Tribolium castaneum: one gene and its partner. Each later gene encodes a partner of the first gene's protein in a complex. Links are inferred from orthologs where the notes say so. Each region holds a gene or a part of one and is shown in the gene's direction. Other genes may lie near its edges. The genes, in order: Suv3 and PNPase.

What was found.
Region 2: Suv3 (region 1) and PNPase share a complex: the UniProt entries of both Homo sapiens proteins name them as parts of the mitochondrial degradosome (mtEXO) complex. The link is inferred for Tribolium castaneum from reciprocal best matches to the Homo sapiens genes SUPV3L1 and PNPT1.

Annotation. Positions count from the first base shown.
Region 1 is NC_087395.1:15,403,104-15,406,934, forward strand, and holds part of Suv3 (ATP-dependent RNA helicase SUV3 homolog, mitochondrial), read left to right. Parts: intron 1-325; 5' UTR 326-348; coding exon 349-643; intron 644-693; coding exon 694-1,085; intron 1,086-1,130; coding exon 1,131-1,242; intron 1,243-1,288; coding exon 1,289-1,510; intron 1,511-3,831. UniProt on the Homo sapiens protein: Major helicase player in mitochondrial RNA metabolism. Component of the mitochondrial degradosome (mtEXO) complex, that degrades 3' overhang double-stranded RNA with a 3'-to-5' directionality in an ATP-dependent manner.
Region 2 is NC_087396.1:24,452,212-24,455,011, reverse strand, and holds the end of PNPase (polyribonucleotide nucleotidyltransferase 1, mitochondrial), read left to right. Parts: intron 1-651; coding exon 652-845; intron 846-891; coding exon 892-1,052; intron 1,053-1,405; coding exon 1,406-1,717; intron 1,718-1,765; coding exon 1,766-1,999; intron 2,000-2,044; coding exon 2,045-2,170; 3' UTR 2,171-2,220; downstream 2,221-2,800. UniProt on the Homo sapiens protein: RNA-binding protein implicated in numerous RNA metabolic processes. Catalyzes the phosphorolysis of single-stranded polyribonucleotides processively in the 3'-to-5' direction. Mitochondrial intermembrane factor with RNA-processing exoribonulease activity.

The DNA of each region.
Region 1 (3,831 bases):
ATATAAAGGGGGTGAAATTGAATTTGAGAATAAAAAATGCAGAAATAAAATGCAGTTAAGTTTTAATTTGTATTAGAAACACATTAGAATGTCCAGGAGATGTTTTGCAAATGTGATATGCAAGTCAACGTAGCAGCTTATTGATGTTTTTATAATGATTTACGATTACTTTGATAATTTTCCTGGTGTGAACTCGGCTGTAGAAAACGAGAATGGTGGGGAAATGGTGCTCCATGCGCACAGCGATTGTCTGGTCGACTGTAATTTTCATCGTGCCACCACCATTTTTCAGGGATGACAGTTATCTAACCTTAAATTTTTTCAGTTAACCTTGCTTTTATACGCAACATGTTGCAAAACGGGCGACGCCTCGGAGCCCTCTGTACCGCGGTCCAAAATTTATCGTTAAATCGGAACCTTTTGGCCCGACATAATTTAAAATTATCGCAACGACGGTTTAAAAAAAACGATAGTTCCATATCATCCCTGTTCATTCCTGTGCCTGTGAAACCAAACCCTGACGATATAAATGTGGGGGCCGAACTGACTGGCAATTTAAACAAAGCCGATTTGCTCAAGGTCCTCAATAAGTTCTACCAAAAGAAGGAAATCAAGCAATTACTTACGGAAAATGGGCTTGATAGTTAGTAACAATCCGACCTTAAGTTGTCTAAGTAAAAAGAATTTTTCTAGACTATCTGCAACACCAAGCGTACGTTAGCTTCCGGCGGTACTGTCTCGAAGCGCAGACTTTACCTGTCGATTTGCACGTTGTTGTGAGCGATGTTTTACAAGGAGCTGGGAACATTACCGATATTTTCCCGTATTTTTTACGCCACGCCAAGCAAATGTTCCCACATTTGGAATGCATGGACGATTTAAGAAAAATCTCGGATCTGCGAACCCCAGCTAACTGGTACCCCGAGGCCAGGGCTTTGAACCGCAAAATTATTTTTCATGCGGGCCCCACTAACTCGGGCAAGACATTTCACGCGTTAGAGAGTTTCATTACTGCCAAATCGGGGGTTTACTGTGGCCCCCTTAAACTACTAGCCGCCGAAGTGTACAAAAAAAGTAATTCAAGGGTAGGTGTCCAATTTTATTGAATAAATTCGAGTGCTGGGTTTTAGGGCACTCCGTGTGATTTGGTAACGGGCGAAGAACGGAAATACGCTGACTCGTCCGGACAGCCCTCGACTCATGTTTCTTGCACTGTGGAAATGGCTTCGCTAACTGCACCTTGTAATTATTTGGTTTGATTTTTTGTGGTCGTTTAATAAATTTTTAGATGAGGTTGCGGTTATTGATGAAATTCAGATGGTGAGGGATCATCAGAGGGGGTGGGCGTGGACTAGGGCCTTTTTGGGGCTGGTCGCTGAGGAGATACACCTGTGTGGGGAGGCTGGTGCCATTGATTTGATAAGCCAGTTGTGTTTGACGACAAATGAGGATATTGAAGTGAGGCATTATAAAAGACTGACTGATTTAAAAGTAGAAGACACAGCTCTAGGTAAGTGCTTTAAAAATAAAAGCCATTTATAAAATTTTTCTAAAAATTAGCGCTTTTTTGTGTGAATCAAAAACGATTTCCATATTACACAGATTATTTCTAATTATTTTTTTCTCTAAGACTGTGGCCTGAGTGTTGGTACAGTCTGTACTCAGTAGTTCACTCTATAATCACACTATCATTACAAATTATAAAGAAATAAAATAATATGGATTATAGTTAAGGTTTTTAACAATTTTACTTTTCAAAAAATTCCATAAAAAACATTTTTATCATTTCTTAGCTTAATTGATTTGTTAATGAAATTTACCTTATTCTTATTATTACGAGTATATACGAAAGCATTACCTCTTTATTTTTTTATAATTATAATAAATATGAATTAAGTACCCAATATCTCAGGGAGAGAAGAAGCTTAATTTTTTCGACGGCTTCATTTGAAAATATCGTTTTGCACCTTCCAAATATTCCATCACAGAACGTTATTTCTACCTGTTTCTTCCTATGGAGAGAGGAAAACACCATACTGTCATGGGGTATTTGGAGGTTGGCTACTTTTGCTATTTCGCTGACTAATTTTTTTGAACAATATACGAGAAAAATTGGTGAAATTTGGCGCACGCAAGTTGGTTGTTACTAACCCAGCAATACTTGGTATATTTTAATTTAGTTGAGGAAAACAGTGGCTTAGCTGGAAGATTATTTATTTATTTTCATTCATTTTTGTTGCTTCTTTTTCTGCGGATATTAACATACACTTGCGCTTAATCTTAAGTTTGTTCGTAAAGCTAAATGAACGGGAATTAAGGCGACTTCAGAATTGCTTCAATTATGTTTATTACAATTTACAATAAAGGTGGATGTGAGTGTTTTACTGCTTTATTGTTTTTATTATTCCTACTCACGAAGGAAATAAAAAAAGGCGAATAATTGCTTTAAATTGCTAGATTTAGAAAATGTAGAAGCAATGTTGGCACAAAATTCAGGTCTACTAGTTACAGTTATTATTATTATAGTCAATAAAACGAAAAATAATTATTTTTTATTTTAGTAATTATAATTTTTGTAATAATAATAATAATTATAGAAAAATAATTATTTTTTGTATATTTTTTTAATTATTTTTTAAGTGTAGGAATTTAATTACACTACAGGGTATGTCAATAGTGGGTTACTTTTGCAAAATAGAGAAACTTTATAAAAATAAAAAAAATTGTTAAGGTCCTAAGGGGTGTTTGTCCGAACATAATTTTTTTACAGTCGAAGGCCCTATCGTTGAAGAATCTTTAAAAATTCATTAAGGTTTCAAGGGGTGCTTGTCCGAACATGATTTTTTTACAGTCGAAGGCCCTATCGAAGGGCTTAATCTTCTGCAAAAATAAACAAAATCGCAGTATATAAAGTGGGTGAAAAAAAATAAAGTTTGCGAAATCGGGAAATCTTAAAGAATCTTTAAAAATTCATTAAGGTTCCAAGGGGTGCTTGTCCGAACATGATTTTTTTACAGTTGAAGGCCCTATCGTTGGGTTTAATCTCCTACAAAAATAAAGAAAATTGCAGTATATATACTGTGTGGGTGAAAAAAAAAAGTTTGCAAAATGGAGAAACTTTATAAAAATTAAAAAAATTTGTTAAGGTCCCAAGGGGTGTTTGTCCGAATATGATTTTTTTACGGTTGAAGGCCCTATCCGAGGGCTTAATCTCCTGCAAAAATAAAGAAAATCGCAGTATATAAAGTGGGTGAAAAAAAAAAAGTTTGCGAAATCGGAAAATCTTAAAGAATTTTTAGAAATTCATTAAGGTTTTAAGGGGTGTTTGTCCGAACATGATTTTTTTACAGTCGAAGGCCCTATCGTTGGGTTTAATCTCCTACAAAAATAAAGAAAATTGCAGTATATATACTGTGTGGGTGAAAAAAAAAAGTTTGCAAAATAGAGAAACTTTATAAAAATTAAAAAAATTTGTTAAGGTCCCAAGGGGTGTTTGTCCGAACATGATTTTTTTACGGTTGAAGGCCCTATTCGAGGGCTTAATTTCCTGCAAAAATAAAGAAAATCGCAGTATATAAAGTGGGTGAAAAAAAAATAAAGTTTGCGAAATCGGAAAATCTTAAAGAATCTTTAAAAATTCATTAAGGTTCCAAGGGGTGCTTGTCCGAACATGATTTTTTTACAGTCGAAGGCCCTATTGAAGGGCTTAATCTCCTGCAAAAATAAAGAAAATTGCAGTATATAAAGTGAATGAAAAAAATAAAGTCTGCAAAATAGAGAAACTTTGTAAAATTAAAAAAATTCGTTAAGGTCCCAAGGGGTGTTTGTCCG
Region 2 (2,800 bases), on another chromosome or scaffold:
TCACAAATTTCGAATCGTTACGTTATTTATAGAATTTTTTATTCATTGCTACGTAATAATTTATCAACTGAAATTAATATTGGACGTGTGTTTTTGTATCTCATTTCACGTCAGTACGTATTAATTTCTCATTCATTCGTATTTTTATCCCATTAATAAAAAATGAAATTATAAAAGCCATGTAAGAGATAAATTCGGCTCAGATACGGAATGTCAGATTCATATTATTCCAAACCCTTTGCTCGGAGTCTAGACAAGATAAACTGCGTTAGATGTTCATTAGTTTTCTTGAATAAAAGCATAACTTCTTGCACCTTGAACCCCTTGGTGATGACAGTCGTAAATTTCATTCCCAGGCTTTAATTAATTCGCAAGATTGTGTTCCTGCTCCTCTGCATTCCAGCATCTTGATTGTAAAACGGAATTTATTTTTTTAATTCATTTGGGCTTTAGCTAGCGCTCGATGCATTTCCTCAACGGAAACGAAAACAAATTTAAATTTTACAGTTGTTTATAGTTATTAATTAATAAAATCGCAATCGGAACTATGAACACGAACAGGAACAAAATTTCAACAAATACGCAATCATTGTATTCATGAGTTCATTACAATTCACGTGATAAAAAATTATTCAATAATTGATTTTGTAGCGGTGTCAAGGAGAAGAATTTTTTTCTCCACTACGAATTTCCGCCGTTTGCGACAAAGGAAACGGGGAGAATTGGTCCAATAGGGCGGAGGGAAATAGGGCATGGGGCTTTAGCGGAAAAAGGCTTGACTCCCTCAATCCCTGACGATTTTCCATTTACGATTAGACTAACATCGGAAGTTTTAGAATCGAATGGTAAATTTTCACTTGGCGTTTATTCCATTTGAAAGCTGAATTGTAGGCTCAAGTTCTATGGCCAGCGTCTGTGGGGGAACTTTGGCTTTAATGGACGCAGGTGTACCAATTGTTGCGCCCGCTGCAGGGGTGGCAATTGGATTAATCACGCGATATGACGATGAGAAAGCAAATATCACGGATTATCGCCTGTTGACTGATTTATTGGTAATCGTTTTGCAATTACCGATGTTTAATTACTCTTTCAAAATCAAATAAAACATCTTGGTTTTATTACTAACTTTAAGTAATTAAGGTTAATAACCACGGAGGACTATAGATTAGGAAACGAAACGAGAGCAAATCGTACTCAAACGAAATAGTGCAATGAAACTGCACCATCTGTGCGACGCTAACGGAACTATTGAAAACGGGGACGTTTTATTTGTACGTCATTTCGTATCCTTACCTATAGTAATCCGTAGTACTTATAAATTTTAAAGTTTTATGATTTTTGTCGTCAGTGTAGCCAATTAATTTTGTTGTTTGAGCAATTCCGGCAATTTAATGTCGCATTTAAGGGAATAGAAGATTATATGGGCGATATGGACTTCAAAATCGCTGGTACGAAAAAAGGGATAACAGCCCTGCAAGCCGACATAAAAATCCCGGGACTTCCCCTAAAAATCGTAATGGAGTCAATACAGAAAGCAACCGAAGCTAAACAAAAAATTCTCCAAATCATGCACGAATGCATCGATAAACCCCGAACTGTGAAAAAAGACAATTGGCCAGTGAGCGAAAAGTTGAAAGTTGAGGCCCACAAAAGGGCGAAACTTGTTGGTGTAGGTGGCATTAACTTAAAAAAACTTTTGGCTGAAACAGGTGTCCAGGTTTGTTTCTTTTTCTGTTATTTTTGTTGGTAGCTGTTTACTTAACAGGTGAGTGCAATCGATGACACGACTTTTGAAATTTTCGCGCCGAATCAAAGCGCCATGGACGAGGCTCAGGAGTATATTAATAAACTCCTGACTGCGGAAAAAGTGCCAGATTTGGAGTTTGGGGGGATTTACACTGCCACGATCGTGGAATTGAGGGATATAGGAGTTATGGTTACGTTGTATCCGGGGATGCCCCCAGCATTGCTTCACAATTCGCAGCTGGATCAGCGAAAGGTTGGGTGTTATTATTTAATTACGTTAATTGATTTTTGTGTTTAGGTTGCGCATCCGTCGGCGCTCGATTTGGAAGTGGGGCAGGAAATACAAGTGAAGTATTTTGGAAGGGATCCGGTTTCGGGATTGATGAGGCTTTCGAGGAAGGTTTTACAAGCGCCGCCAAAGTGAATTAATTGTATTTTTTAATGAATTTAATAAAAAACACGATAAATTACAAAGAGTTTTTTTCCTCGTAACTGCCATTCCTGACATCGGACAAAAATCCACAAAAAAAATATTTTTTTGTTGTGTTCATAAAAATTGAAAATAAAATCTAAAAATTTGAAAGTGGAAAACTCTCTTCTAACTGTTGAAAGCGAATAACTTAATCGATAAAGAGTTGGGTAATTTTCAGCCAGTGTGGTCGTTATCGGCTTACTTCGTTTGCTTTGTGGAGCGCTTTGTTTTGTCTTACTCGCCTTCCCAATGCAATGGGATAAGGAGCGATTAGGAAACCAACTTATTGAGTCTTATTCTATCTTTAACTTTGTCCTAGTATCCGTAATTAAAAAAATCGAGCGAAATACACGTAATAACTGGACCTTGGTGATAAACTTTGGACAAAAAAAGTTAAGTTGTCGTATAAACAGAAACAATAATTTGCACCTCTTCAATGGCCACTATAAAATACTTCAAGTTGATATGGCCACTTGCCGCAATGGTATAAAACGACATTACTTCAAGAAGTCAAGAACTATATCGATTGATACTTACCAGGAGAATTGAATTGAAGTGCTCTTTTATATTCTACAGGTCATC